Linked DNA regions of Elephas maximus indicus. The protein of the gene in region 3 binds, or shares a complex with, the protein of the main gene of each other region. Links are inferred from orthologs where the notes say so. Each region holds a gene or a part of one and is shown on either strand. Other genes may lie near its edges.

Region 1 (7,831 bases), on a different chromosome or scaffold from region 3:
AGACAGATGTGGAGGTATCTTCATCCCAGTGGAGGAAATACAAGAAATACAGGGTCAGCACAGCTGAGATGGAAAAAAGGGAGACAAACAAGGTAGATGCATTAAAGCGATTTTTGAAGGAGGAATGTATTTGATCTCTGGTCTTTGAAGGTAATCTTGGCCTTCAGCCCTCCTATCAGTGATATGAGTGGGGCGGAAAATAGCAGCAGGGTCTATGGAGCTATGGCATTGAATGGAGCTATGCTGAGTGTACAAATTCAATACTTCTTCCTCAAGTCTATGTACACTCATAGCAGCATCTAGACCAACCTTGAAGATAACATGGTGTTTCCAACACCCCTTTCTTTTCTTTCTCAACAGCAATATGGTTCAAAAGCCTGAGGAAGATGTATGAAGAATGGGACTCGGATGACAAGAGCTTTCCCACTTACATCCTCACAGACCATGTTCTGGTTTCTATCAGACCCTTCTGTTCTTGGCCTGTAGGAGTTACTAGGTGAATTCCATGAGGCATGTACTGGAAATCTTGGCCAAAGGGACCAGCGTGGACTAAGGTGGGAAGAGTAGGTAAGAGAAATAAGCCCCTTCAAGGAGGCTGGACTGTTGTAAGAGGGGGTGAGTGGAGAAACGCAGGACACTGGGACACCAAGATACCTTTCATGCCATAATAGGAAAAGCGTTCGCAGAATTCATTCACCACAATGAAGGCAATGCTCAGTGGATAGTTGGTGCCACAGAATTTCTATGAAACAAAAAGGCAATGATTCAGGCATGAGTCGTTTTCCCTACTTTAGCCACTAGATTGTTCCTCAATAGCAAAATTCATTTTTTCCTATCTCATTGATAGGTATTGTGGGAATTCTTTATGAAACGGTTTTTATCACACTAACAAGTGTTTGAATTGCTGATTTAGGAGTAAAAGAAGCAAGTCTGAATATTACTTTGTTCCTCATTCATTTAAAATAGAACTGCTCAGACATTCCTTGGCCCTAGATACAGGACCTGCTTACTTTCCCATAGCTAGTAAATGAAAAGTTGGGAGCTCTGGCCAGAAGAATAATCAGCCGTATTTCAATGAACAGGATGAAGAGGTGGTCTGTGGAATGCCTGATGTCCACGCAGTTAGATTCAGATATCAGTATTCTGCCTAGTTTCTCTGTGGAGACTGGCCCCTCTATTCCTCACTTGACACATATAGAGTGCCTTCTTTACCATGATGGGAGAAGTCCTGGCAATATAATGATTTCCAATGCAGGGGCTGTTGGAGCCAGGCACAGAGCCCAACACGGAAGGCAAAAATCCTAAAGGGAAGCTGATAGATCGCGTTGACTTTGGGCAGAGGATTCTTTAAAAAAAAAAAAAAAAAAAAAAGCTGTTGTGTCAAGCCTTAAATCCTATAAAACTAAATGTCCACTCTTCCTGCCAAAGTGATATTATAACATTTTCAGGATAATCCTACTGGACATTAAAAGGACTAGTCTATTTCATGTAGTATACAAGCCAGAATATAAGGAATGCCATGTTTTATTACGAGTCCCTCTATCCACTACGATAGCCCAACTAACCTGAGGGGGGCGGGTGGTGGGGAGGTCTGCCCTTGGGACAGTCAAATCTTATCATGACATTTACACTGTCTCTGGTTCTTTTCTTAGTGCATGATAAATGTGTACATCTTTGTAAGCAGCCTAAAATCCTTCGGGGCCATAAAAGATAAAACTAGACAAAACAAATTAATATATTTATTCATTTGCTCATATATATACATACAAATAATGCCCCTAAGTATTAATATATGTTAATGCATGATAATATTTTGCATGAAAGACACGATGAACTAGGATTTTCAACTTCCCAGCTCACAGCTTGAGAGTTATGTTACCTGCAGTTCAGTTAACACGCTGTCACTAGCCAGCTAACACTGGCACTAGCTGTGTTTAACATACTAATACGGGTCGGTACACTGCAAGTGCCTTATGTCTCAGTTCTGTTATTCCAAAGAAATGTGAATTACACCACTTCTTGGCCCATAGTAAGAACTCAATAAATCTTTTTTTTTTTTTTTTTTTTATTATTATATCCTCTCCTCTCACAGGATTTTGATAGGAGGACTGAATGAGATAACAAATTTGGAAGTGTTTTAACAAGTATATGATGCAAAACTTTATGATTATTTCTTTGTTTCTTTGCCTTACCTCCCACTGTCAACTAGGAAGGCATTGTAGGAGAGACTGAGTCTATTCTAAAACTTCTCTGGGTGCTCTACATAAGCCCCGCACACAGGGAGAACTACAGGCTAAGTTTTTTTATTTGGTAAAACAAGAACAATCACACACAGTTCTCCAGACAGGCATGCCTGCCAAGTTTCCCTGGACATTCAAATGGCTGTGTTTTTTCCCCTCAGGGAAACAAAACTCAGAATATACAATGAACTACAGCAAAACCCTGGGTCCCAGCTGAAGAACTCTGACTACCTCTTCCTGCTGCTTCCTCCCTCTCTAAGTAAAGGTAGCTTCAGTTCAGACTTGGTTTTTTACATTAATTCTAACTCTTAAAAAAAAAAAAAAAGATGTTGCCCTTGTGTGGATTCTGACTCATAGCAACCCTGTAGGACAGAGCAGAACTGCCCTATAGAGTTTCCAAGGCTGTAAATCTTTAGCGAAGCAGATTGCCATCTCTTTCTCCCGCGGAACTGTGGGTTCAAATCCGATTACCAGTCAATGGCTTAACCAGAGCACCACCAGGTTCCTAATTCTAACCCTAGGCAAGAATCATTTCTATATCCTAATTCAGCTTAGGCTGGGGCTCTAGAGGCCAATCAGGAAAGCTCAAAGAACAAGGCTAATCCTGTTAGAGTGAGAACTGAATCTGGGGACTCACCGGAGGTGACTTCTCTGGAGGGTCTGGAGGTCCAGGTGATACCTCTTCAGCGGACACAGGTGAAAAAAGAATTTCCTTGGACACATTTATCTGGAAGGGATTCATGGCTGTCTCTTTACTCTCTCTCTCCTGAGCCATTTGGCTCAGGGAGGCAGTTGGGTCAGCTGCCAGCCTTCTGTAAGAAGGGGAACTGGCAGCAGGAGGGGGAGGTGGCTTCAGCAACTAGGTTTAACCCTGTGGGTGTTGGCTTCAGCAGCTGGCTCAGAACAGAGCCCGAAGCTATAGGAAAAGAAAGGTTGAGGGTTAGAGACCTGTTCCAAAGAATGATTATGTAAAAGGTGAGAGCAAGGAGAAGGTGCTAGAGAATTGATAAGGAACAGAATGTTTAAGAAATATTTCCTACAAATGAGTCCTAATTAAGCATGCGATACCTCAAGCAAGATTAAACACTTGATTTCAGGGTAACAGTAACTGTCATTTATTGAATACCTATTATATGCTAGGGAGCCCTGGTGGCATAGTGATTCAGCTGCCAGCCAAAAGGTCGGCGGCAGTTCAGATCCACTAGCTGCTCCTTGGAAACCCTATGGGGGCAGTTCTACTCTGTCCTATAGGGTCGTTATGAGTCATTATGAGTATATATACATGAATTACATATACGATCTAGATAATATATATTTTTGTATATTCTAATTCTTACTACCAAAAAGAAAAAAAGTTGCCATTGAGTCAATTCTGACTCAATGGCAACTTCATGTGTATCAGAGTAGTACTGTGCTCAATACGGTATTCAATGGCTGATTTTCTGTAAGTAGCTCACCAGCCCTTGCTTCCTGGGCACCTCTGAGGACTTGAACCTCCTACCTTTCAGTTAGCTGTGAAGTGCCTTAATCATTTCTACCACCTAGGGACCCTCTCTACTTCTTACAGCTATCCCCATTTTGCAGAAACTCAAGTTCTAAAAGGTTAATTTGCCCAAAGTCACATGGCTAGCAAGCCACAGATCTGGAATTTCCACTATGTCATGACAAACAGACATAAAAGGTAGAGATTAGTATCAGTAATGCCTATGGCCATGATTTAGGTATGCAGGCTTAAGGATCTCCATTAGGATGGCGGCTATGCAATGGAAATATAAGGAAGCTGGGATATTGAGATGCCTTGAATTTAGAGATATAGGAAGTATGTTAATTTTTCTTGTAACATATACCACATTTTTACATAAATAGCACATGCCGTTAAACATTTTTTTTTGCCAACCACACCCTCTACCCAGGAGGTATTTTAAGCGCTATAATCATAGTTTAGCTTATGAGGTACACCTAGTGGGGGTGGGAGGAGGACAAACAAAAGTAACATGTGTGCTCCTCGTTTGCTTAAAAGTAGGGTAATAAAGTTCAGCCAGAAATATACTATAAGCAATTAAAGAGGTAGGACTAAAGAAAACAAGAGAAATAGGTTGGTGATGTATGTTTGGGAGTCATTGTTTTTTGCTAAAGTCATTCCCTGTATTTTCATTCTCACTTTGAGATGAAACCATCCTTTCCCTAAAAACCATAAATAAATAAGATAAAATAATTAATTTGAGCCAATGATGTGAAGCAATTTCTTTCTAGGTACTGTTGCAAACATGATTTCCTTAATTTTTAGTGGCTAGATTCCCCAATAACTCCAGAATATAGTACATAGTCCCCATCAGAGGAGAAATAAGAACAGGCATGGTGTGACAAATACATGTCATATTGTATTCTTTTTGCTGAGAGGTAAAAGAAGAACAAAAGATCACAGTGCCCTTCTAGTGGTTAGTCAAAAGAAAAGGGAAACCAATGGTCAGAGAACTATGAAAGAAATAAGGAAAGAAAAATGAGGACCAACCCAAAGAAGTCAGGCAACACAAGAAAGGATTATTTTGTTTGAAAATACTAGGGAGAAACAGAGAATCCAGGATCCTATCCCCTCGCAAAGTTCTCAGACTACCTATCTGAGTAATTTATTGACACAAGGCTGGGATAAACTATGCTTTCCTCCCTGAACTTTATGTCAGACTTTGACCAAGTCTCTCAGCTTCTCTATTACAGTTCTCATTTCCCCTGCTCTCCCACCAAACTTTACCAAAAAGAGACAGGCGTCTTTTCTGACTGTGACATTAATGATTAAACTGTAGTTATTGTCCCAGGAAATATTACTCTTTCTGACATAATTTGGTTAATGATTCCGTATGCAAAACAAAATGCTCAGAATTTACTAGTAAGTTAACTAGTTCATCAGAAGACACCATTAACAGTGAAAACACAACTCACAGAATGAGAGAAATCATTCGTATCGCACACATCTGGCAAAGGATTTGTGTTCAGACTATATAAATAACTCTAAAAATCCATAACAAAAAGGTGGATAATCAAGTAAAAAATTATCAAAAAATTTGAAACGATATTTCACAAAAGAAGATATCGAAATGGCCAATAAATCTGTGAGCTGGTTATCAACTTTATTAGTCATTAGGGAAATGAAAATTGAAAGAATTAATGTGATACCACTATAGAACCACCAGAATGACTTAAAAAAAAAGACACTATCTAGTGTTGGTGAAAATGTTAAAGCAACTGTAATTCTCATACATTGCTGGTGGAAGTGCAAATTGGTATAACCAGTCTGGGAAATTGCTGGGCAACTTCTACCAAAACTGTATATACTCATAGTCTATGACCTAACAACTTGCTTCCAAATATGGACCCCAAAGAAATATATGGATATAAATTCAGTTCATTTAACTAGCTCTAGAGTTTTTTGCTATTCTACACAATTCTCCAATAACTGGCATATAAGACAAATGTATCTGTAGAATATATTTTTAGAAGTGAAACTGCTGAGCCAAAAGTATTTTTTTGTAATGTTTAGAACTTCCTGTTCATGCCTTTTGCCCATTTTTCTACTGAGTTGTTTGTCCCCTTCTTGTAAATTTCTAAGAGCTATTTGTGTATTATTGATATTAATGCCTCTTTGTGGCAAAGATTTCCTATTGATTTTATTTATGGATTTTTAAAGTTAAATACAACATAGTAAAGCACATAGATCTTAAGCATACAGCTTTGACATACATATAACTCACACAGTATAAATATAACACATACATATAACTCATACAACCACCACTCAAATAATATATACAACATTTCTGGCACCTCAATGCTGGAAGTCCTATGCAATGGAAATATAAGAAAGTTGGGATATTGAAAGGCACTGAATTCAGAAATACAGGGAATCTGTTAATTTTTGTTTTAACATATACTGTATTTTTACAAAAACAGCACATGCCATTATACATTTTTTTTTTTTTGCCAACCACACCCTCTCCACAGGAGGTATTTTCTTAAGCACTGTAAGTATAGTTTAGCTTATGAGGTACACCTTGAGGTACCCTTCAGAGAGCAATACCTGTTGCTTCCCTTCTGCCTCCCAGACAAACCCCCCTTCCCCAAGGTAATCACTATTCTGATCGCTATCAGCATAAATGTGTTTTGCCTGTTTGGAAACTTTATATAAATGGAATAATACCTTTTGTATTCTTTGTGCTTGATTTCTATTACTCAACATTATGTGTGTGAGATCTATCCATGTTGCTGCCTGTAGTAGTATATGTTTTTCTCCACTGTTTGGTAGCGTTCACTATATAAGTCACAATTTACTTACCCATTCTTCTGTTGATGACCATTTGGGATATTTCCAGTTTTAAGGTTGTGCTATTGTCAACTTAGTTTAAGCTAGGAGCTACATTTCCCAGAACCACCTTCCCTGTATGTTTCTAGGTCTCTCTCCCTCCATACATATGCTGCTGTTAGGTGCCATCAAGTCAATTTCAACTCATAGAGACTCCATGTGACAGAGCAGAGCTGCCTCATAGGGTTTTCTAGGCTGTAATCTTTTTTTTTTAATCTTTACATGAGGCAGATTGCCAGGTCTTTCTCCCCAAGAGCCACTGGGTGGATTTGAACCACCAAACTTACAGCTAGCTACCGCGTACTTAACTGTTGCACCAGCAGGCCTACACACATATTCGTAATACATATATATATATATATACACATACATACCTAGGTATACACACACATGTGGAAACCTTGATGGCGTAGTGCTACAGCTGCTAACCAAAAAGCCGGCAGTTGGAATCCACCAGGCGCTCCTTGGAAACTCTGTGGGGCAGTTCTACTCTGTCCTATAGGGTCGCTATGAGTTGGAATAGACTCGCCGGCAGTGGGGTTGATTTCGTTTTGGGTATACATGCACATATATGAACTTACTTATTTTAAAAGTTTGAGATTATTTAGATTTTTTATGCACACAGTCCTGTCATTTGCAAATAATGTACTGGGTCAAATGTATCCTTGGTTTTTGTTTTGTTTTGTTTCTTACAGTTTCAAGTGCCCTATCTTGGTTAAAAAGGTCTCTTCTACTCCTATGTTACACCTATAGTGTATAACAGGGATTGGCATACGTTTTCTGTAAAAATGTAAAGGGTCTTCTGTAAAGGGCCAGAGAGTAAATATTTCAGTCTCTAGTCTTTGAGGGCCATAAGCTTTATGTAAAACAGAGTTCTAATATTCTTTTGTTTCAATGGATAGTCAGTTATGCCAGCACCATTTATAAAGAACTCAATCTTTTCCATTATAATTGAAGTCTTACCTTGTTGTATATTAAAATCTCATATATATTGGGATCTATTGAATCTCTCCCAATATATATGAGAATTTTATATTTTGTTTCATTGATCTATTTATTCCTGTGTCAATTATTTGATTATAGTGGCTTTGAATATATAGAATATGTTCTGGCATCTGATAAGGCAAGTCTGCTCACTATTCTTTCTCTTATTTGGGCATTTATTTTTCCACATAAATTTCAAGATCATTTAGAGACTGATATTGCATTACATTTATATGTAGAATTAATTTAACAT
Region 2 (7,619 bases), on a different chromosome or scaffold from region 3:
TCGCAGGGGCTGGCAAACCCAAGATCAGCAGATCAGAGAGCAGGGCTCTTGCTCACAGGCTGTGAAGATCAATGAATCCCAAGATCAGCCAGCAAGACTGCAGGTAAGCTGCAAGCTCGAGACCCAAGAACCAGAGGTCAGACGAACAGGAGCCAGCTGCAGGATCCAGGATGAACAAAAGCTCCCGAGCCCTCTCAGAAGGTCTGCCCACACACCCAAGGAAACTCCCCTTCAACCGATTGGCTATTCACAGCAGATCCCCTCATGGGGGTGTTCACATATCAAATCTCAAAAGTGAAGTGACCACATCACATGACTGCCAAAACACTGAGAATCATGGCCTAGCCAAGTTGACACACAATCTTAACCATCACAGTATCAAAAAGCAAAACAAAACTTGTTGCCATCGAGTGAATTCCGACTCATAGCGACCCTACAGGACAGAGTAGAACTGCCCCATAGGGTTTCCAAGAAGTGGCTGATGGAATCAAACTGCCAACCTTTTGGTTAGCAGGCAAGCCTTAACCACTGTGTAACCAGGGCTCCAACCGACCTATACGAATCCAAAAAACCAAACCCAGTGCCATCGAGTCGATTCTGACTCATAGCGACCCTACAGGACAGGGCAGAACTGCTCCATAGAGTTTCCAAGGAGCGCCTGGCAGATCTGAACTGCCAACCCTTTGGTTAGCAGCCGTAGCACTTAACCACTACGCCACCAGGGTTTCCAAACAATCTATAGCACTGGGCAAATCTGCTGCAAAAGAACTTTTTAAAGTGCTAAAAGGCAAAGATGTCATTTTGAGGAATAAGGCATGCCTGACCCAAGCCATGACATTTTCAACTGCCTCATAGGCATGCGAAAGCTAAACAATGAGTAAGAAAGACTGAAGGACTGGTGTGTTTGAATTACGGTGTTGGGGAAGAATATTGAATATACCATGGACTACCAGAAGAACAAACAAATCTGTCTTGGAAGCACTTACCAATGATGACCAAAGGTTACAGCCTTCATTATCAATTACACCACAACATAAAGAAAACAGAAATCCTCACAACTGGCCCAATATGCAACGTCATGATAAACGGAGAAAGTACTGAAATTGTCAAGGATTTCACTTTCTTGGATCCACAATCAACACCCATGGAAGCAGCAGTCAAGAAATCAAATTTTGTATCGCATTTGGCAAATCTGCTGCGAAAGTCCTCTTCAAAGTGTTGAAAAACAAATATGTCACTTTGAACATTCTGACCTAAGATGTGCCTGACCCAAGCCTGGTATTTTCAATCACCTCACACTCATGAGAAAGCTGGACAATAATAAAGGCCAAAGAACTGACACATTTGAATTACGGTGTTGGCAAAGAATACTGCAACAACAGGCTCAAACACAGCAATTATTGTGAGGGTATTGCAGGACCCGGCAGTGTTTTGTTTTGTTATAAATAGGCTCGTTATGAATCGGAACCAACTGGAGGGCATCTAACAACAACATACGTGTGTAAATACAAAGTTTTGTTTGTTTATTGTCTGTCTATCCAAGCAGACAATAACCTCCATTAGTGCAGAGACTTTGTTTTGTTCATTGCTCAATCGTGAGGGCTTAGCACAGTGCCTGGCAGATAGATGGCACTCAGTAAGTGTTGTATAGAGACAACAATCTGTTGCGTTAAATTGCAATTTGCTTCACTATACTTGGGTTTTTTTTTTTTATTTTAATACTTAGAATGCTTTTATCCCCTTTAAAAAAACAAAAACAAAAACTCATCACTTCGACACTCTCAAATGAGAGCAATTACCTTAACAAAAAAGCTTCCTTATGCTATTTTACCAATTTCATTCATTCACCACTGTTTATCACCTGGCATCAGTTACTAAAACCCCAAAAACATACGGAAATTCTTTAATTTGCTTAGTCAAGAATTGAATGGAGCCTTAGAATCACCTCATTTTCAGTTGAGAGTAGTTAAGGAATTTTACCAAGCAGTGGTTTTTTTTTTTACAGTTAGTAGTAGAGCTATCATGTGCACCCAAGTCCTTGATTTAGTTTAGTGCTTTTTCCAAAACCCACCTATGCGCGGTACACTTTCTCTGAAGCAAGAATTGACACAGAGACACTACCATCAAAAGAGACTCACACTTGTTCACTTTGGAAATGTAATTTTAATGAAATACAACTTTTTTTTTTTTTTTACCCAGGATCAAGAACCAAGCTGTCTCTACTTAGAATGTGGGCAGTTACTACAACTGAAAATCAGATATATACGTAGTTTTTTATAAAGTTAGGTTTCCAGTGGTTAATAAACATGCTAAATCATCAAAAGAAGTAGTCCTCTTTATTAGCGAACTTTTAGCATAAGCTAAGTAATGTTATTTTAGAAACAGCAGTAGTCCTCCCGCCCTCTCCCCCCAGAAAATACGAAACTGGAAAATAGCACTAGTTGAAAAAAATTTTTCACGCGTTGCCTTTAAAAACAAAACCCTCAGTATTCTGAAATATCAGAGACTTCCTGTAACAAAGTACTAAACATATTTTCTTTTTTTTGAGGCATATTACGCAAATAAACCGAAAAGCTGCCTTTACGCAAGCAGGTATTAACTTCCACGGGTTACAGCAACACTCTTGTAGCAGCGCGACAATTTCTCTCTGACCACGCACGAGGAGGCCACTTTCTCCCTCCCAGCAAATTCCCGGAGCAGAGCAAGGGGTCTTTGCACGGAGGTCGAGCGGCTCAGTAAGAGTTTCGCAGCCACAGCGGAGAGAAGCCCTACTAGGCCCACCGCCCCTTTCCCCCTTCCCCCTTCGCCCTCCGCCCCCCGCCCCCCGCCGCCTCGGCGGCGCCCCTCAGCTACCTTTCCGCCGGAAGAAGGACATGGCGGGGCCCGGGTCAGGGCGGAGGGCCCGGGGGGACTGTCGCGGGGAGGGCCCGGCTCCCCTCATTCAGCAACTGGCCCGGACTTCCGGGTCTGCCTCAGCCGCCGCACTAGCCCGAAAACAAACCCTTCTTCCGGGTGTGGGCCCTACTGCCTCCTAGAGATGCCTGGGCAGTGCCTGCCGCCATATTATCAACAAGCCGCCCACCCGGAGTTCCGGTCCTTCCCCGCGCGAGGCTTCACGGGAGGCTGGGCGGCCGGCCCCGCCTGCGACTCTCTCCAGGGTGCAGGCACGTGTCCGCGTCGCTCACGTGACCTTGCGGGAGTGCGACCTGCGCCCATCTCCCGGAGTGTGGATGTTGAAGCAGTCGGCATCGTCAGCTCTGCTACGCTGCCGGTAGTGTAGATAATGGCTCCTACGCTGTAGACCCCATCTTTGCAAAGGAATCCTCCTGGAGCAGGATCCTTCCCGGAGCTCCCCGGTCCTTCGAGATAACGCGCGGCTCTTGGAGCGCTCTTCTAGAGGCTGGGCCACCAGTGCTACGCTCAGCTTAACCCCTCAGTGTTTTTCCGTTTGAGATTTTCTAAAATTAGACGCTGGCCGGCATGGACTGGCTTCAGCGTGCACCTCCAGCCCCTCCTCTCTTAAGGGGCTTCGATGTGTGCGAGAATCTTGGTGGGGAATAGGAGACGTGAACTGCTTCATGCAGCTCCGGTGAATTCTTTTGTCACAGTGACCTCGGAAATGAGAAAAGAGAAGTGGGCTTATTTTCATAAGGTGATCTCTGCGAATGCTGGAATTTGAAAGGCAAGCGCCAGTGAATCATCCTTCAAGTCTTCTTCAAATGTCATTTTCCCTGTGAATCTTCGGACCCTCACTCTATTCCTGTAGCAGTGAAATCAAGCCTCCACCCCTTTAGTATCTGTCACCACTCTCTTGAGTGCACTCTGCCAAGTAGAATAGGTCACTGTTTGTAGCCCTTAGCTCCTGCCAGGGAGGGAGCCAGGAAGATAGTGTGTCTGGTAGTAGAAGCTCAGTAAGTGTTGGCTCGATTTTTTTTTAGTTTTTATTGTGCTTTAAGTGAAAGTTTACAAATGAAGTCAGTCTCTCATACAAAAATTTTTATACACCTTGCTAACCCGCCGAAAACCAAACCCAGTGCCGTTGAGTCAATTCCAACTCACAGTGACCCTATAGGACAGAGTAGAATCGCCCCATAGAGTTGCCAAGGAGTGCCTGGTGAATTCGAGCTGTCGACCCTTTGGTTAGCAGTCGCAGCACTTAACCACTGCGCCACCAGGGTTTCCATACACCTTGCTGTGTACTCCTAATTGCTCTTCCTCTAATGGGACAGCACACTCCTTACTTCCACTCTCTCTTTTTGAGTCCATTCAGCCAGCTTCTGACGCCTCTGCCCTCTCATATCTTCTCCAGGTAGGAGATGCCAACATAGTCTCATGCGTCTACTTGATCCAAGAAGCTCTTTCTTCGCTAGCCTCATTTTCTATCCTGTTGTCCAGTCCAATCCCTGTCTGAAGAGTTGGCTTTGGGAATGGTTCCTGTCTTGGGCTAACAGAAGTTCTGTCTCTGGGGTTCTTCTAGTCTCAGTCAGATGATTAAGTGTGGTTTTTTAATGAGAATTTAGGGTCTGCATCCCACTGCTCTTCTCCCTCAGGGTTTCTCTGTTGTTCCTTGTCAGGGTAGTCATCTGTTGTAGCCAGGCACCACCTAGTTCTTCTGGTCTCGGGCTGATGTAGTCTCTGGTTTATGTGGCCCTTTCTGTCTCTTGGGCTCATAATTACCTTGTGTCTTTGGTGTTCTTCATTCACCTTTGCTCCAGGAGGGTTGAGACCCATTGATGCATTTTAGATGGCTGCTTACTACATTTAAGACCCAGATGCCACTCTCCAAAGTGGGATGCAGAATGTTTTCTTAATATATTTTATTATGCCCATTGCTTAGATATACCGAGACCATGATCCCCAAACCCCTGTGCCTGTTACACTGGCCTTCAATGCATTCAGTTTATTCAGGAAACTTTGCTTTTGGTTTAGTCCAGTTGTGCTGACCTCTCCTGTATTGTGTGTTGTCTTTCCGTTCATCTAAAGTAGTTCTTATCTGCTATCTAGCGAATACCCCCTCCCTCCCTCCCTCCCTTCCCCCTCTCGTAACCATGAAAGAATATTTTCTTCTCAGTTTAAACTATTTCTCGAGCTCTTATAATAGTGGTTTTATACAATATTTGTCCTTCTACAACTCACAAATTTCACTCAGCATAATGCCTTCCGGATTCCTCCACGTTATGATACGTTTCACAGATTCTTTGCTGTTCTTTATCGATACGTAGTGTTCCATTGTGTAAATATAAAAAATATATATACCGTAGTTTATTGATCCATTCATCTGTTGATGGGCACCTTGGTTGCTTCCATCTTTTTGCTATTGTACATAGTGCTGCAGTGGACATGGATGTGCACATATCTGTTCCTGTAAAGGCTGTTATTTCTCTAGAATGTATTCTAAGGAGTGGGATTGCTGGATCATATGGTAGTTCTGTTTCTAGCTTTTTAAGCTCCAAATCGATTTCCAAGGTGGTCGTACCATTTTACATTCCCACCAGCAGTGTATAAGTGTTCAGTCTCTCAACAACCTCTCCAACATTTATTATTCTGTGCTTTTTGGATTAATGCCAGCCTTGTTGGAGTGAGATGAAATCTCATTGTAGTTTTGATTTGCATTTCTCTAATGGTAATGATTGTGAGCATTTCCTCATGTATCTGCTAGCTACCTGCATGTCGTCTTTAGTGAAGTGTCTGTTGATATCTTTTGCCCATTTTTTAACTGGGTTATTTGTCTTTTTGTAGTTGTTTTTGTTGTATCATGTAGATTTTAGAGATCAGAAGCTGATCAGAAATGTCATAGCTAAAAACTTTTTCCCAGTCTGTAGGTAGCCTTTTTACGCTTTTGGTGAAGTCTTTGGATGAGTATAGGTGTTTGATTTTTAGGAGCTCCCAGTTATCTAGTTTCACTTCTACATTGTTAGTGATGTTTTGTATACTGTTTCTGTCACGTATTAGGGCTCCTAACATTGTCCCTATTTTTTCTTCCATAATCTTTATCATTTTAGATTTCATATTTAGGTCTTTGATTCATTTTGAGTTTGTTTTTGTGCATGGAGTGAGGTATGGGTCTTGTTTCATTTTTCTGCAGATGGATATCCACTTATGCCAGCACCATTTGTTAAAAAGATGGTCTTTTGCCCATTTAACTGACTTTGGGCCTTTTTCAAATATCAGCTGCTTATATGTGGATTGATTTATGTCTGGATTTTCAATTCTGTTCCATTGATCTATGTATCTGTTGTTGTACCAGTACCAGGCTGTTTTGACTGTTGTGGCAGTGTAATAGGTCCTAAAGTCAGGTAGAGTGAGGCCTCCCATTTTGTTCTTCTTTTTTCGGGAATGCTTTACTTATCCGGGGTGTCTTTCCCTTTCATATGAAGTTGGTGATTTGTTTCTCCATCTCATTAAAAAATGTCGTTGGAATTTGGATTGGAATTGCATTGTATCTATAAATGGCTTTTTGTAGAAGAGACGTTTTGACAATGTTAAATTTTCCTATCCATGAGCTAGGTACGTTTTTCCACTTACACAGGTCTCTCTTGGTTTCTTGCAGAAGTGTTTTTTAGTTTTTTTGGTGTAAGTCTTTTACATCTCTGGTAAGATTTATTCTTAAGTATTTTATCTTCTTGGGGGCTACTGTTAATTGTATTGATTTGGTGATTTCCTCTTTGATATTCCTTTTGTTAGTGTAGAGGAATCCAACTGATTTTTATGTGTTTATCTTGTATCCCAATACTATGCTGAACTCTTCTGTTAGTTTCAGTAGTTTTCTTGAGGATTCTTTAGGGTTTTTGTGTGTAAGATCGTGTCATCTGCAAATAGAGATACTTTTACCTCTTCCTTGCCGATCTGGATGCCCATTATTTCTTTATGTAGCCTAATTGCTGTGGCTAGGACCTCCAGCAGAATGTTGAATAAGAGTGGTGATAAAGGGCATTCCTTTTTGGTTCTCCTTCTCAAGGGGAATGCTTTCAGACTCTCTCCATTTATGATGATGTGGGCTGTTGGCTTTGTGTAAATGCCCTTTATTATGTTCAGGAATTTTCCTTCTATTCCTATTTTTCTGAGGGTTTTTGTCATGAATGGGTGTTGATGTTGGCTGGATTTTTTAATCATGTGAAGAATGAGGAAACTGAGGTTCAAAAAGAGGAGACAACTTGCTTGAGATTATTCAGTATGTCAGTGTTGAAACTAGAACTAGAACCCAGGAACTTTTCACCATAATACTAGAGCAGGTTAATAGATTTGTCTATTTTTGTTGGGGTTCATTTGCAAATGCATGTAAGATGTGTTGATATTTACTGAAACTTACTACGTGCAGGTTCTCTGCTAAACTCTGCAGTTTAACCCTTGTAATAGCCCTAGGAGAGCCCTGGTGGTGCAGTGGTTAAGAGCTCAGCTGCTAACTAAAAGGTCTGTAGTTCGAATCCACCAGCTGCTCCTTGGAAACCCTATGAGGCGGTTTTACTGTGTCTTATAGGGTTACTATAAGACAGTAAACTGGGTTTTTTTTGGGATAGGGTTACTATGAGTTGGAATCCAATCAACTTGACAGCACTGGGTTTGGGTTTTGGTTTAACAACTCTAGGAGTCAGTCTTAGCGTAGACAAAACTAGGCATAG
Region 3 (7,272 bases):
CAAGTAAGAACAAGATTTCTGATAAAGGCTATGAATGAAGAGTGGTGGGATGGAAGAGGGAGGCCAATTTAGAAAGCCCTTCCTGGGGCGTTGGCATTTGAATTCATACCCAAATGATAAGAAAATAGTCATGTAAAGATCTGAGGAAGGGGGAGACCATTTCAGAGTTTGTGGTCCCAGGAAGCTGTAAAAGCTAGTGTGGGAAAACAGAGGGCTGAGGCTTTGAATATTCCTTGGCACTGCATATACCTGCTCTAGGAACACAACCAGTAAGACCACCAGGGCTAACACCCCCAGCCCTGCAATGAAGATATTCTCTAGAAATGGGGCAGCTTCAGGAGGCTAATGACTACCCTAGCTTCAAAGCTCCAGCATCTATCACATCCTTGGTGACCTGGAAAACCCGTTAGCGATCATCTAGTTTCAACTAGGAAATAGAGGTTTGTGGAGCCCTGGTGAAACAGTGGTTAAAAGCTATGGCTACTAACCAAAAGGTTGACAGTTTGAATCTACCAGCTGCTCCTTGGAAACCCTGTGGGGCAGTTCTACTCTGTCCTATAGGGTCACTATGAGTCGGAATCGACTCGAGGGCAATGGGTTTGATTTGGGGTTTTAAATAGAGTTTCAATGAGATTAAAAAACCTGACTGCAAGGCTGTTTCTTCCCACTATTCCACAGAGCTTTTGGATACACACATTGTAACATAAGTACCTTACACTTTTGTGTTTAGTCTCCTAAATGCATTCATATTTTTATAATTTTTGGTACAGCCCTGGGGCAACAATGAGGTCTTCATTTGACAGATGGTGACATCAAGGCTCACTTTGGCCAAGTGACTTTTCACTAACAACTAAATCAAAACCCAGTTCTTCCCCCAGCCCTGCATCCTCTCCCCTTGATGATACATAGCTGCCTAGCAAGTTGGCTATGAATGTAAGCCATCGTTACTAACTACTTCATATTTTATGATACAAAGAACATATGAAAATGTCAAAGATAAGAACAATTCACTTAGTCATTAAAACATAAACTCAAAGTCCTTGAGTTAGTTGCTGCAAGAAGAACATATGACTCCAGGTGACCAGACAGTTGTGGCCTGAGACACTCAGCCCTGTGACTTCTGGATACAGGACTGAGCATGTTGATGCTGTATGGCAGGGACTGTAAACTAGAAGGAATGTGTTCCTCTTGTGAGGCCAACCCAGACTGTCTCCACGGTGAACCACTAGGTGAAGGTTACTTAAGTCCCTTGATTCTTCTGCTTAGGAAATAATCTCCTATTGGTCCCCAAACCTGCCTACATATTACAATCACCTGGGAAATCTTAAAAAAAGAAGAACTTCAGACTATACAAGACCTGAAGAATTAGAATCTCCAAAGGGTAGAAACTGGAGTTCTACATTCTCAAATTCAACTACCCTAGAAACCCACTGATTTTCCTCATTGTTTTGTGCTATAATGTGATAAAAAAAATAAATTTAAAAAAAAGAGATGCCCATTTCTGTTACCTGATGAGATAAAGTTAACTTACATTCTGTCTTTTACAAAGAGCTTCTGGAAGACAATCTCAAATACCTAAACCCCCTTAATAGTGGAGAAGGTCTTGGAGTTAACTTCCTCATGACCTGTGACGTCTCCCTTTGGCTGAACATCAAATCCCCATACGACCCTGGGAAAGTTTTCTCTGAGGATCAGTTCCACAAACTGCTTTGTCGGGCAGCCCCTGACCTGCAAGGGTCAGGGGTCCATCACGCAAGAGAATTTCAAACGTGCACACACCCCCTGCTTCCCCACCCAGGGGCCTGGCCAATGACAACTTGCCCATGGGCCTCTCTCCTATCCTAGAAAGCCAGCTGCTTGCTTGGAAAAGAAAAAAAGAAGAGAAAGACAGTGGTCCAGGGCCAGGTGGCTGGTACCCTCAGTCAGGGGGACGCAAGAGTCAGAAGTTCTTACCTGAATCCAGGAAAGAGAGGAGCTGTTCCGTTCACTCAGGAACTCTCTCTGTTGATGAGCACTAGTCTTGGAACTTGCTGAACTTTGAACAAAGATCGATTTAAAAGTTGATGTATTTAACAGGGACTTGTAGTCTGACCTCTGTTCTGCTTCCTGCCAGCTGGCTAGGCCCTGAGCTGGGCAAGCCTGGAAAACTCCAGCAAACTCAAAAAACTTAGGCCCACCTGCCTAACTGCCTGGGGATGCTGCTCCTTGCCTGCCCTTCCCAAAGACCAGGACAGAGAAAAGAAGGGAAGACAACCAGGGAGGAAGTACCTCTGCCTTCCTGAGTTCCCTCCCTTAGGCAAATGCCTAGGTCACAGCCAACCAACACTCAACAAACACCTAGTCCCCTTAGGCATTTCCATTGTCCCCAAGCAAAGGTCGCTGCTGAGCCAGGCTGCCATCGCCGGAGCATCCTTACACACCAAGGCCTCCCTGGGGAGCAGCAGCCTGTGCAGTCCCCACCCATGGCCCCAGTAGAAGGCTAACAGGCCATTAAGCCCAAGTGGATAGGGCAAGATGGACTCCCACCCTGAGAGTTCTTACTCGCATAGTCCCTGGGAGTTCACCCTTCAAAGCCCCTGTTCTTCCCCAAGCTCCCTTCCTTTTATACCCTTTCTCCCGTGCATTTTTTTTTTTTTTTAATCTCTCTCACCTGAGAGTGCTCTGTTTTCAATCTCCAAGCTAATGACAGTTGTATTCACTTCTTGTGTCTCAGGCAAACATGTCTGGGTAGCTGGAAGGCATTTTCAAAAGCTCCTCAGCCCTGCTGCCTGGGCAGTGGGGTGGTGCTCTCCTGCACTGCCCCAGCCCCAGCCCCAGCCCCAGCCCCAGCCCCAGCCCCAGCCCCAGCCCCAGCCCCAGCCAGGACCAGCAGCTGATCCCTGTTAGCAGCACCCACACTGGTGAATCTACCACCAAGTTTCTCACTGACCTGCATCCTCAGCCCACACTGGAAATAAGGGCAAGAGATTGCTCCAGGCAATGAGACAAAACAAACCGCGGCCGAGGACCGGGTGGCCTCACCCTTTCTCCACCCACGCCGGAAAGGCCTCTTGCTGTCACTGTGCCTTGGCTTTGCCCCCAACAAAGCCATGGCCGGAGTCAGTTGGTAAATGGTTGAAAATGACAAATACCTGAGTAGCTTCCGCATACCAGTTATTTTCCACCTGAAGCGTGCCCTCTGGGCCTTCTGCATATCTTCCAAAGCAGCAAGGTATAATGGGAAAATCAGGATTTAGCACCAGAACACCTGGGTTCAAATTCGGCCTCTGCCACTTCGCAGGTGTTTAATCTAGGCTAATTTAATTCGCTGAGTCTCACTTTCATCATCTGTGAATAGTTGTTGTTATATTGTTGTTAGAAATGTGGTCTTTATTTTGAGTCAAAATTTCTCTCACCTCTACCTATAAATCCTAATAGTTCCTTCTGGAGCTCTACATCCTAAATCTAGTCTTTATTCTACACAGCAGTCCTTCAGGTATTTGAAGGCAACTATATCCCTCTTTTATATCCCCCATGGAAACCCTGGTGGCATAGTGGTTAAGTGCTGTGGCTGCTAACCTAAAGGTCGACAGTTCAAATCTCCCAGGCACTCCTTGGAAACTCTATAGGGCAGTTCTACTCTGTCCTATAGGGTTGTTATGAGTCAGAATCAACTCGACAGCAATGGGTTTGGTTTTGGTTTTGGATATCCCCCACAGGAGCCCTGGAGGCACAGCGGTTAAGAGCTTGGCTGCTAACGAAAAAGTTGGCTGTTCAAATCCACCAGCTACTCCTTGGAAACCCTATGGAGCAGTTCTACTCTGTCCTACAGGGTCGCTATGAGTCAGAAACAACTCGAGGGCAACAAGTTTGGATATTTTGGTTTCTATCCCCCATAAGTCTTCTCTGAGACTCTGAGAGATTCATTGAATGCCCCTCATTCCATAAGGCCTATAGAATATTCCATATGGCTTAAGCCTATGTGATAACTTCAAGACTTCTTATCACCCTGGACGCCCAGCTGATTTGTCAGTGTCCCTCTTAAAATCTAGGGCCTAAAGTGAAAACTTTTTAAGGTGAGGGAATGAAACTTTATTGAGTGTTGGGAGTGGCAACATGTCTCCAGTTACCAAAATTCATCAAGCTATGGGTATACAGCTAAAATAGCTGGATTATATTGCATGTAAAAATACCTTTTTTTCTTTTTTTAAGGAGCATAAGTCAGTAAAATTGATTCTGAAAACATCTATTTAAATTAAAAAAAAGCAGTTCTCACATGAAGCACTCATTCATCTCCCAATCAACAAGATTCTCAGACTTGCCTTCTATCCCAGCACAGCTGGAACAAATAGCCACAACATTTCAGGCTTCCATTTATATATATATACACACACACATACATATGTATATACACATACATATGTATATACATACAATATACATATATATATATACCCACAGGGACCAAAAACCAAAAAACTAAACCCATTGCCATCAAGTCAATTCCAACTCATAGTGACCCTATGGGACGTAGTAGAACTGCCCCATAGAGTTTCCAAGGAGCACCTGGTGGATTATGAACTGCCAACCGCTTGGTTAGCAGCTGTAGCCCTTAACCACTATACCACCAGGGTGTGTATTTGTTTTGTTGACTACATCCCAAGTGCCTAGAATATAAGCCTTTTCAAAAAATGTTGTCAAATGAATTAATCAAATAAATAAATGAATGAAACTCCTTTTGCCAACAGGGCTGGTTTTTCTTCCACCTTTTCACTGAGAATGTAGTTTTTGAGGGTGTCACCTCTATGCAGGGTCTCAGTTCCTAGCTTTTATCTCCTGTTGCAAAGTGACCCTGTGAACACAAACCGGTTACCACTTTTCCATTTCCTCTTCATTCTGGATCTTAGAGATTTATTTTCCATTTCTTCCAAGTTCAACTATCTATTTGACAAAATGCTTGATGTATTTTCCACAGTATTTCTGTGAACTTTATTAGGAGGGTTTTCAGTTGATTTAAAAAAAATAGTAGTTCTACAATTTAGTAGTTACTTTGCATCCCAACCTCCAGCTTTCTTATCTGTATAATAAAAATAATACTGCAATCTCATAGGGTTGGTCAGAGAATTAACAAGACATTTGTAGAGTGCCCAGAACCTGGTAAATGCTTGGTGCATAGAAACATTATTATTCTCATTTTTTGAAGGAATCAGTCCTCTTAATTTATGGGCACACATTATACAAACAGGCCAATGAAAATAAATGAGCTAGAAGTACACAATGGGCAACTTGGGAGTTTGGGATGTTTGGAACAGTAATGTATGGCGCTCCTGCCTGCTCACAACACACCATTTGGTGCAACTGGTCAGAAACAGAAAATTAGAAATACTTCCCAAGACTTCTCAATCTTTTTCCCATCATGCCACACATAGAAAATGATAGTAGTTGTATAGCACACTAGAGTAAATAGACGTGTTTGTTCAACGCTGGAAAGACCTGCCTGAGACCAGGAACTCTGAGCTCTGCCCAGACTCTCCAAAGGTTGAGGGGACCAATATTTTTGGCATACTTGTAGAAAACTATTAAAAAACATCACCAAAAGCAATTAAAGAAAATCCAATGAAGATTATACCATATTCATGGATTGGAAGACTCAATACTGTAAAGATGTCAATTCTCTTCAAAACGATTGTTTACAGATTAATGTAATTCCAAACAAACTTCCCATAGGCTTTGTTTTTTTTGTTGATGGAGCTTCATAAGCTAGTTCTGAAAACAAAATAGTAAGGAAGGAGTTGCTGTAGTGGATCTCAAGATGGTAGAGTGACAATAACTACTTTAATATAGTACTGGCACAAGATGGACAAATGGACCAATGGAATAGCTTAGAAAGCCCAGAAACACAGTCATACATATATGATTTATATCGATTTATGACAAAGAACAGAGGGAAAGAATGGCCTTTTTCAATAAATGGTTCAGGGTTTGCATCTGGCTTATTTTATTCAGCATGATGTTTATGAGATTCATCCATGTTGCTATATGGAGCTGTAGTTCATTTGTTTTCATTCTATGATTCCATTTATGTCATCTCCAAATCAGAACTTCTGGGGTGCCTGTTTAGGTGGTCACTCACTACACTGACTTTTGGGATGCTGGCAAGATTCTAGTTCTTGAGTTGACTGGTAGTCGCACAGGTGGTTGTGATAAATTATTGAGCTATGCATTTTCATTCATGTATTTTCTGTGTACCATATCTGACAATGAGGTTAAGAAATTCAAAAACTTAAAAATTACGGTGTATGTCTAGATAACAGAGTAAACAGAAGAAGTTTTTCAAGGCTGGAAGTGACCTACCTGAGGGTTTCAGTTGCCCTCGGCCCTGCCCAGACTATTCAAAACCCAAAGGGAGCATTATCTTGGCATTCCCATAACCCACCTGTGGCACACCTGAGCACCCTGGTCAGGAAATTTTGATCTTACCACTTCAATTTTCTTACTCTGAAAAAGGATTCAGAGAGATGAATTGACTTAACTTAGGTCTCCAAAAGTTCATAGCAGGGACAGGGCTAAGACCCTGAGCTTTTGCTTCCAAGGTCAATGCCCTTTCTACTACACCATTCTGCCTGGCTTCCTGGGGACCATCTGGATGTTCTTATGTACAAGATTCCAGGCTTCACCCTTTGCATTTGGGCTCCATCCCTGATACTCTTGAATTTTTATCCCAATTTCAGATCTGATTGCTTCAGTGTTACCCTGTCTTTTTGGTAGCTCATTAACTCACAAAAACCAGTGCCGTCGACTCAGAGCCTGGCATTTTTAGCTCCAGTGGTTTTCTGTCCCTGTCCTGAGTCAATGTTTATGGCAATCTCCCCTTTCTACCCCCTCCCCCACCATGCTACTCTGGCCTCATCCACCGTCTGAAGAAACAGCCTGTGCAGTCTGCATACCTCTGGAGGAATTTATTAGGTCAGAGTCCAGGTGCAGGACTGCAATGAATGTTTTACAGCAGTGCACAGTGATGGGTGGGAGGAAAGGCAGCCACTTTGCTTTACAGGCATTGTGGCCCCACAAGATAGCAGATCTCAACTTTCTAGTGTTTTCAGCAACCTGGTGTCAGGTCAGGGGAGGCCAAAGGACCTTGGAGAGCTGTGAATTATTAACACTTGTAGCTGACTGCAAAGGATATTTTAGTGGTCATTTCTTCTCCCAGCTGAGGGTTCAGAATGCACAATCCTTTTCTACCAAAAGAAAAATTGAGGCCCAGAGCAAGAACATGCCCTGTTCTGGGTTCCC

The links.
Region 1: the proteins of PDZK1 (region 3) and SLC15A2 are in contact, whole or in part, in a crystal structure (PDB 6EZI), measured with the Homo sapiens proteins. The link is inferred for Elephas maximus indicus from reciprocal best matches to the Homo sapiens genes PDZK1 and SLC15A2. Residues at the interface, in NP_001188254.1 of Homo sapiens: Asn386, Gly387, Tyr388, Gly389, Phe390, His391, Leu392, Asn393, Ala394, Ile395, Arg396, Gln407, Tyr436, Glu437, Val440, Ile443, Gln444; in NP_066568.3 of Homo sapiens: Glu723, Thr724, Lys725, Lys726, Thr727, Lys728, Leu729.
Region 2: the proteins of PDZK1 (region 3) and AKAP10 are in contact, whole or in part, in a crystal structure (PDB 3TMH), measured with the Homo sapiens proteins. The link is inferred for Elephas maximus indicus from reciprocal best matches to the Homo sapiens genes PDZK1 and AKAP10. Residues at the interface, in NP_001188254.1 of Homo sapiens: Asn386, Gly387, Tyr388, Gly389, Phe390, His391, Leu392, Asn393, Ala394, Ile395, Arg396, Phe402, Lys404, Tyr436, Glu437, Val440, Ile443, Gln444; in NP_009133.2 of Homo sapiens: Pro655, Leu656, Glu657, Lys658, Ser659, Thr660, Lys661, Leu662.

The regions. Positions count from the first base shown.
Region 1 is NC_064819.1:12,437,830-12,445,660, reverse strand, and holds the start of SLC15A2 (solute carrier family 15 member 2), read right to left. Parts: upstream 3,063-7,831; 5' UTR 3,016-3,062; coding exon 2,878-3,015; intron 743-2,877; coding exon 655-742; intron 64-654; coding exon 1-63. UniProt on the Homo sapiens protein: Proton-coupled amino-acid transporter that transports oligopeptides of 2 to 4 amino acids with a preference for dipeptides. Transports neutral and anionic dipeptides with a proton to peptide stoichiometry of 2:1 or 3:1.
Region 2 is NC_064820.1:212,340,409-212,348,027, reverse strand, and holds the start of AKAP10 (A-kinase anchor protein 10, mitochondrial), read right to left. Parts: upstream 3,075-7,619; 5' UTR 2,942-3,074; coding exon 2,854-2,941; intron 1-2,853. UniProt on the Homo sapiens protein: Differentially targeted protein that binds to type I and II regulatory subunits of protein kinase A and anchors them to the mitochondria or the plasma membrane.
Region 3 is NC_064821.1:157,858,719-157,865,990, reverse strand, and holds the start of PDZK1 (Na(+)/H(+) exchange regulatory cofactor NHE-RF3), read right to left. Parts: upstream 3,092-7,272; 5' UTR 2,930-3,091; intron 2,732-2,929; 5' UTR 2,651-2,731; intron 2,036-2,650; exon of another isoform or gene 2,031-2,035; 5' UTR 1,954-2,030; intron 1-1,953. UniProt on the Homo sapiens protein: A scaffold protein that connects plasma membrane proteins and regulatory components, regulating their surface expression in epithelial cells apical domains.